Linked DNA regions of Macaca mulatta. The protein of the gene in region 1 purifies or fractionates together with the protein of each later gene. This does not show direct contact. Links are inferred from orthologs where the notes say so. Each region holds a gene or a part of one and is shown on either strand. Other genes may lie near its edges. The genes, in order: FAM83D and CSNK1A1.

Region 1 (4,465 bases):
ACACTGTCTACCCTCAAGTGTTGGCAAGGTTGATGCCTTCTCCTGTGGCCCCAGGCCTGGTAGTGTCTGATACACAGCAGGCAATGAGTAAGCAAATAATTTGGCATCTATTCGACCTACTGAAAATACTCATTGGATTTTTTTTTTTCCCAAGACGGAGTCGTGCTCTGTCGCCCAGAGCTGGAGTCCAATGGCGCAATCTCGGCTCACTGCAACCTCCACCTCCCAGGTTCAAGCAATTCTCCTGCCTCAGCCTCCCGAGTAACTAGGATTATAGGTGCGTGCCACCACGCCCTGCTAATTTTTGTATTTTTAGTAGAGATGGGGTTTCACCATGTTGGCCAGACTGGTCTCGAACTGCTGACCTCGTGATCCGTCCACCTCAGCCTCCCCAAGTGCTGGGATTACAGGCTTGACCACCGTATCCAGCCAATACTCATCGGATTTAAAGGTAACTTTCTCAGTTTAAACTGCCCACGTTCCAAATATAGCATCTCAGAGGGAACTGTGGGTAGCTAGACTAGGGCAGCAGGTTCTATCTGGAAATGTCAGTATTACAAAACGCCCATGGGATGAGGGAGAGTCTGAGCTCCCGGCTCCATCCCCTCCTCAGGCCAGCACGTGAGTTTAATTTCCCTCTGGCCTCTGGTTCCAGTGCCCCTTTGCTATCACTAAAATTTTGAGATGGGCAAAAGACTAGAACAATCCACAGCTCTCACTATATAGACCAGTTCTTTACATTTTTCAGGTTCCAAGTGCTCAAGTTCTACTGGAGGTGAGCTTTGGGAACGCATACCTACACAAGTCTGCCTTTTCCATCTTTTTAATCTTCTCACTGAACCCGCAAGGAAAATGTCTACTGCATCAAAAAACCCTCAGCCCACCTAAAGCACCTCAGGGCTGGTAAAAGCCTAGCTGCAGCCCACAACCACTCCCTCAAAAGCAAGGCACTAGGTCACTGTATCCACTACCACTGCAACCCCACCATTCAGGGAAAGAATATTAAGAACATTGGTGAGAATTGGGGCTTGGACTTGGACATGTCAACCTGACAATGCACTGGTATCTTCACCCACAGTCAGACACACTCATGTACCAGCCCTCGCAAGTCTTACCATGGCTGGGGCTTTATCTGCCATGTCCCTGGCACAGGCAGACAGCCAGGAAGCCGGGCACTGCCAGTCAGCAAGCAACCTGACCATGGTTCCAGACCAAGGTGTCTGCCACCATACTGTTCTGCCACACCCACATGCAGGCTGCCTTCTTCCTCCTTGATCCCCAACACCCTGCTGCAGCTTCATTGAGGCTGGCAAGCAGACAAGACCTCCACTGCGCCCATGACCATGCCATACTGAGTCAGACAGTAGGACCAAAACAGAAGCCGATCTAATGCAAATGTATCTGCATTTTAGGAGACCACTGCAATCTGGCACAGACCCAGCCTATGGAAAACTCCTTGCCCCTTTCATTCACAACGGCAAATTTCCCCTCCAGTCTCTGGCAGTAGAAAAAGCGGCAGGGGGCCGGGCGCAGTGGCTCACGCCTTAATCCTAGCACTTTGGGAGGCCGAGGAGGGTGGATCACCTGAGGTCAGGAGTTCGAGACCAGCTTGGCCAACATGGCGAAACCCTGTCTCTACTAAAAATACAAAAACTAGCCGGGAGTGGTGGCAGGCGCCTGTAATCCGAGCTACTTGGGAGGCTGAGGCAGGAGAATCACTTGAACCCGGGGACGGAGGTTGCGGTGAACTGAGTTCCCACCACTTCACTCCAGCCTGGGCAAAAGAGTGAGACTCTGTCTCAAAGAAAAAAAAAAAAAAAAGACAAGAAAGAAAAAGCGGCAGGGGTCTCACTTTGCCACTTGTGTTTATCTGCTTTTTACAACATAAGATGCGTGAAAGTAATTAGCAATAATAATTGATTCCTAATGCCCCGTAGTTGTCTCTGGAGACCACCTTCCTGGAACTTTCCCTAGGTAAGTTCTTTGGTAATGAGTCTCCTAAGAAGCTCCTGAAAGTGGGATGTAGCGTTGGCTGACAGCCAGGGAAATCGGCAATTTTCCAAGTTTGATTTCAACTGAAATTTGGAGCTGGGAGTACTTCTGGTCCCTCCTTCAGGGATATGAACGTTAGGAGATGGAACCCGGACACAATTCTTATCCTTGGGAACCGAGGCTTCCCCACTATCCCCTGCCACCAGGAGCGGCCCGGGGGATCCGGGGAAGACACGCAGAGTGGGGTGTGAGTCGGGGACCCCGGGACCCCGTGGCCCGCGCTTCCGGTAGGGAGCTGAGGAGGTAGTCGCCCCGGCCTGTGCTCCCCGCAGGCCTCAATTTCCCATTCTTGAAGGGGGTCTCCCGTGCGACCCAGAGCCCGGGAGGGCCGCTCACCTCTCGCGCCGAGCGGAGCTGCTGGCGCAGAGCGTCCTTGCAGCCGTAGGGGCCGCCCTCGCCCGTGCCGCGGGGCTGGAAGTGGGCCTCGACGCGCGTGGCGCCGCGGTAGGCGCCCTGGTAGAAGGCGGGCCAGCCGAGCTCCAGCAGCGGCGGCTCCAGGTCCGACTGCTCGGGGAAGTAGGTGCCAGACGAGCAGTCATGCGAGGAGCCGAACGAGTCCTCGGCCGCCGCCGCCGCGCCCTCCTCTCCTGGCCTCTCCGCCGCGCGCAGGATGGCGTGCACCTCATCGGGGTTCAGGAAGCGAGCCAGGCGCTCGCGTCGCAGGAAGGCCGCGAAGGCTTCGGGGCCGCCGGCCACCAGCTCCTCCAGAGCCAGGCGCCGTGACTCGCTGAACAGCTCGGCCGGGTTGGGCGGCCCGCACGGAGACAGGCAGGCAGCCGGCAGTTCGTCCAGGCCCTCGCACAGCAGAGCCATAGCGGCACTCGGACGCGACAGCCCTCGGACAAGAACCAGCCTGCAGGCCCACTTTATAGGCAACCTTTGAATCAAACAGGCCCGCGCCATTGGCCGCACCTCCCCGCCTCGACTCTCCCATTGGCTGCATTCCTTCCAATAGCGGAGCGAGGCGGGGCGCAAGCCTCTACGGTTCCGCCCCCTCATGCGTTATTGGCTGCGATGCTGGGGTTGCTAAGCCGAATTTAAACTTGCAGGGGCGAGGCGGGCCGCAGAGCAGGGACAGAGCGGGGAGAGCCGGGCTCCTGGCCATCCCAGGGCGCCCCCTGCCGGCCGCCCCCCAGTGCGGCCCTACAAGGCCAGGGACAGTCAGGCCTAGGCAGTGAGGAGAGGCAGGTGCCGGCTCCCAGACACGTTGGCCACGCTGCTCCTAGGCTCTCAGAGCTTTGGTATGGCCAAACATATCGTCTTTATCCCCTGCCTTTAACCACGTATTCATTCATTAAAAAAATACCGGCTCATCATATTAGGACCGCTCCTTTGCTTACACCCTCGGGTAGTCTTCTCTCATTTCATCAGTTTTTGCCTTGTAAAACTCCAACCAACCCTGGTTGTATCCTACTTTGCACCTGCACCCCGGCAGCCCTACAGGGCTGGAGAAAAAAACAAAAAGAGCATAACCATGCTTACTGACTGGTCATGTTTTACATTCATAATCTGTAAGACTACCTGCTAGGAGGCCGGGCGCGCAGTGGCTCACGCCTGTAGTCCCAGCATTTTAGGAGGCCTAGGAGGGCGGATCACCTGAAGTCAGGAGTTTGAGACCAGCCTGACCAACACGGTGAAACCCCGTCTCTACTAAAAATACGAAAATTAGCCGGGCATCTTGATGTACGCCTGTAATCCCAGATGCTCGGGAGGCTGAGGCAGGAGAATCACTTGAATGCGGGGAGAGGAGGTTGCAGTGAGTCCAGATCACACCACTGCACTCCAGCCTGGGCGACAAGAGCGAAACTCCATCAAAAACAAAACAAAACAAAACAAAACAAAAAAACTGCCTGGTAGGCCACATTTCCCTCATTCTCTCTACCTTTTCCTCTCTGACAGCTTGCCTCCTATGTCACCGAGAACACAGAAGCAGTGAGAAGGGAACGTCCACGTGCGCCCATCTAGTCTACCTTCCTGTCTCCATCGCTGCCCATATACTGGGCATTGATGAACTGCGCCTGTGCCCATCCAACCCCAACCCCTCTGCCTGGGCACTTCCAGCCCCTCTACTACTCACCAGCATCACTCCAGCAACCTTCTTCTTTCTCCTGGAACATCAGCTTCCCTCTTTACTGATTCATTTCTATCAACCTACACGCATGCTGAAATATTTTTCGTCTTAAAACAACCCTCTTTTGACTCTACATTCCTCTAAAGCTCCCCATCTCTCTTCTTACTTTTGCAGCATAAAATCTCAGATGTGGCTGGCCATGGTGACTTGCACCTGTAATCCCAGCACTGTGGGAGGCCAAGGGAAGAGGATCACTTGAGCCCAGGAGTTTGAGACCAGCCTGGGCAACATAGTGAGATCCTGTCTCTACAAAAAAATACAAAAGTCAGCTGGGCATGGTGG
Region 2 (4,488 bases), on another chromosome or scaffold:
TCGTTTCAAAAGAAAAAAACCTGGGCACGGTTGCTCATGCCTGTAATCCCAGCACTTTGGGAGGCCGAGGCAGGTGGATCACCTGAGGTCAGGGGTTCGAGTACAGCCTGGCCAACATGGTGAAACTAAAATACAAAAATTAGCTGGGTGTGGTGGCGGGCGCCTGTAATCCCAGCTACTCAGGAGGCTGAGGCACTAGAATCGCTTGAACCCAGGAGGCAGAGGTTGCAGTGAGCCAAGATCGTGCCATTCACTGCACTCCAGCCTGATCGACAAGAGCGAAAACTCAGTCTCAAAAAAAAAAAAAAGAGTCTCCAGCAAACAGTAAACACCATTCTCACCTATTCTGAATATTTTTGCAAAAGGTATTTTAGATTGTTGCTGAAAAATAGCTTGGTTTTAAACTATATTTTAGTCTCCATTCCATGAAGAGGCTCTTTAATCCCAAAAGTTAAAACATTACTCTAAAACCCTCCAAAGTAAAGTTAACCATTTGACAGAACAATGTCTTTCTATCTCGTCATCTTTTATCCTCGTTACTGCAATTTGCACTCACCAATATTCCACACCAACAAAGGCCGCAATTTCTCTGATATTAAGATTTACTGCCAAACTCAACAGGTTAAAATTACTTATCAAAGTGTGGCTAAGTGATTAAGATTTCTTTTAATACAATTGATTTGAGTAAATTTTAACATAGTTGGTGCTGCTCAAACTGCCTTTGCCATTACCTATACAAATTTAGTCCCGACTGAAATGTGCCAAATATGACCATTCACGAAAGGAAAGCGTAATTAACACTTTTAAAAGAACCACAAAGGATTTTACATAGTATAATTCAACAATTTCATGTCACATCTGCTGCAGAGATCACAAACATTGTCACTATGCCATCTCCTTCCTCGAACCCCCACACCGCCTCCTGCAGCTTTATTCTTGGCTTTTCAAAGGTTTAATCCACTCGGGGCTGCTAAAGGAGGAATCAAGGAAGCATAATTTGTGAACCCAAGCTGAGAAAAGGGCAGGAATATGGGGTTGAGTCACGTCGTTCCGCCATTTTCTAAGCGGAGGAGGAAGACATGTTGGAACAAAAACACAACAAAAGAGCAGCCATTTCCCAAGCCAGCTCCAATAGCAACTCGAACTGACACTGCCGGGTCGCTTCAGCACCTTCAAATCCACTTCACTGGACAAACCTAAGAACATCAGACGTGCCGCCGTAAAAAAGGCAGCAGCCAACCCTTCCGCGTAGGGATCAAAGATGACCCGCACGCCTAACTGCAAACGAAAGCCTCGGGAAGAGAATGACGGAAGCGAAATGGAGCAGTGTAATACAATGAAATAAGTTGGCAAATTGAAATTTACTCAGTGATTGCGATGACTTACAGGAAGGCACCAGCTACAAGGAACCCAGGTAACTAAAACAAGACCCGGATTCAGCTGGTCTCATTACCTGCCTCTACCCACTTCCCCATTCCGTGCTTCCCTCAGCGGATCGCCTACATGCACGGGGTTCTTACCGTATGTGGGGGATGCCAACCCCACCTTGAAGAATCTTATAGAGCTTGCTCTCGTACAGCAACTGGGGATGCCTGGCCTTCTGAGATTCTAGCTTCACTGCCACTTCCTGCAGGGGAAAGAGGGGATGATGGCATCAACATCCCTACGGATTCAGTGTCATTTAGGAAAGGAGAGAGACATTAGCAAAACTCCAAGTCGCGACTACAAGGAAGAAGTGAAAAGCTGGAAAGAGAAAGCTCTCTGTAATTATAAAACGAGGCAACCAGCCTCAAAGGCCTCTTCAGGGGGTAGTGACGAAATCGTACGTCCTCTAAAGTGCAGGAAAATGATTCATCCAGAAAAAAGAAGCAACCTCTGAACGTAGTGAGAGGTTTTTAAGGAACTAGGCAATCGGAAACTGTTCTAATTGGAACAAGAGGCCCAGTAGGATTAAAAATTAAATAAAAGAAAAGCAAAGCAAAGCATGGGAATCACAGAAAGAGGATTTTGCCGTTTCCACCTTAAAAGTCGGTTAAAAAAAAAACAGCTCGACGAAGGGACATTTATGGGACGTGTTTAACAAGCTGGGAAACTAGTTCCCCCAACCTTTCTATCGGGTTCTTGACCCTTTTAGGGAGAGAGCGGGCGAGGATCGCAAGCCAGGAAAACTAGCTCCCTGGACTCCCTGGCGAGTGCGTGCGGTGAGGAAAGGCCCGAGCACTTTGGGGGTGCGCGGTGGTGGTGGGGGGAATGAGGAAAAGCGCAGCGTTATCGTGAACCCCACCCCAGGTGATTACCTCGCCGTTGGTGATGTTGATCGCCAGATAGATGTCCCCGAAGGAGCCAGACCCGATCTTCCGTACCAGTTTATATTTCCCTCCGACAATGAATTCGGCCTTAGAGCCGCTGCTACTCGCCATCCTGAGAGACGAAGATGGAGTCTGGGGCCAAGCCCCGACACCTCTGGGAAGACGACGGAGGCCTCTGGGGCTCCTACACTGGGCAAGGCTACGGAGGAAGGCGGCAGGAAACAGAACACGGAGGCCTTTACCGGCGTTCGGGGCCCAGAATCAGCCGAGCGGAACCTGATCACCGCCGCTCGGTCAGGTTTCTTTTTGCCAGGCCGCAGTTTGTGAAGGGCTTCTCGCGGTTACCAGGCTGGGCCACTTGTTTCTCGGCGGCCGCCGCTGCCTCGCTTGCGCGGCGACGTCGCGGGCTGGAAAAGGGGCGCGGTGAGCTAGGGCGGCGATACAGCTACCACCACTGCCGCCGGCTCCGGCCCTGAGGGACCCCTGTCACTCCGCCGACGCCGCCATCTTGTTACTCCAGCTCCAGCCAACACAAAATGCCCCCAGTCCCCGGGAGCCGCTTCTTCACGGCGCAGAGCACTCTGGGAAAGGGATCTGGGGCGCTCGCTCCGAAGGATCGGCAGCGAGAGGGCGGAACCGGATCCGTGAGAGTCGCGGCCCACGCTCCGAGCGTCACCCTGTCACCGCCCAGTAGCGCATGAGCGCTGCAACTCCTGCTGACTGCGCAGGCGTGCCGCGGCCTGCCTCACCCCGCCCCGGGCTTTCTTCCACTTCCGGTCGGCGGCGGCTCAGCTGGTGTTACCTGTTACTCGCCTCGGACCCGCAGGGTCTCTGGAAGGCTGAGTGGCCCCAGGCCTCGATGTTGGGAGGAGTCACCTTCATGTTTCGTGTCAGGCCTCCTTAGGAGTTGGGTATTGACCTTTGCTCTTTGAGGCGGTTTTTAACCTTTGATCTTTCTTCTGGCCGCTCCCCAGGACCGGCCTATTCCAACCCAGTTTCTGTTTGGAAAGAGGCTATCGCCTCTGGTGGAGAGGAAGAGAAAAGCAGCCCGCGTTGAGGAATCGTTCAGGGCTCTCGGTTATAGCAAAACCTAGCTAATTACCCTTCATAATTAGAATTTTCTTCTCTACTACGGAGTGTTATAGACCCTCTTTCCACAGGAGGGGAAAAAAGAAAGAAGCCGGAATCCCCCTGCCGTCCTACGTCTTTGCATTATTGCCTCACTACCACTTTTGATCTTCAGAAGAAAACCCAGTATCTTGTTCATAGTGAAGATTAGGGATAGATGGAATCAACAGAAAATTAATTTAACAAGAGTGAAAAAACTGTTATGCCCCCCAACCCCACCAAAACAACAACAAAGAATCGTATGTTGGTCATGTTGAAAACCGCAGTATTAACCTGAACAGAGTAGAGGTAACTATTACAAAATTTAATTGACAACATTTAAAGCTACACGGAAATTTTTTTCTTTTTTACTAAAAATCGATCAGAGAATCAAATCTTGACCACATTTTGTATTACAAAATTTGACCTGGGAAAATTGGGTTGAGTAATAGTAATGTTCACAAAAGAAAGCTCCATGGTTTATGCTATCATCTTAAGTCAGACCTCAGTCGTAAACATTTAAGCTAAGCCTATCCTAAATAAAATTTAATTAAAATAGAAATGAGGGCCGGGCGCAGTGGCTCACGCCTGTAATCCCACCACTTTGGGAGGCCGGGGCGGGCAGATGACTTGAGGTCAGTTGTTCGAGACCAGCCTGGCCAACATGGCGAAACCCCGTATCTACTAAAAATACAAAAATTAGCTGGGTGTGATGACGTACACTTGTAACCCCAGCTACTCGGAAGCGGAGGTTGCGGTGAGACTAGATCACGCTACTGCACTCCAGCCTGGGCAACAGAGAGACCCTCTCTCAAAAAAATAATTAATTAAATAGAAATGAGAGAAAAATGTGAAGAATTTTAACTGCACCTTTGAAAGGTGATCAAGTAATTAAGGTTAGTAATAGGGTTCATCTCGGAAGATAACTGAAGAGAGAGGGGAAGAGACTTCCCCTAAAGTTTAGCATGAAGTTTTAAGGCACAACCAACACCCAGGGTGCCCAACTCCCAAATCACCACTATTAGACATCGTTCGCCTTTGGTGACTCTAAAGCATGTTTTGACTAAGTTAA

What was found.
Region 2: the proteins of FAM83D (region 1) and CSNK1A1 purify together in Homo sapiens (affinity purification with mass spectrometry; 8 studies listed by BioGRID and IntAct, counting the BioPlex papers as one, with this or other methods). This does not show direct contact. The link is inferred for Macaca mulatta from reciprocal best matches to the Homo sapiens genes FAM83D and CSNK1A1.

Annotation. Positions count from the first base shown.
Region 1 is NC_133415.1:91,796,888-91,801,352, reverse strand, and holds the start of FAM83D (protein FAM83D), read right to left. Parts: upstream 3,092-4,465; 5' UTR 3,052-3,091; coding exon 2,389-3,051; intron 1-2,388.
Region 2 is NC_133411.1:158,512,679-158,517,166, forward strand, and holds the start of CSNK1A1 (casein kinase I), read right to left. Parts: upstream 2,908-4,488; 5' UTR 2,421-2,907; coding exon 2,298-2,420; intron 1,628-2,297; coding exon 1,521-1,627; intron 1-1,520.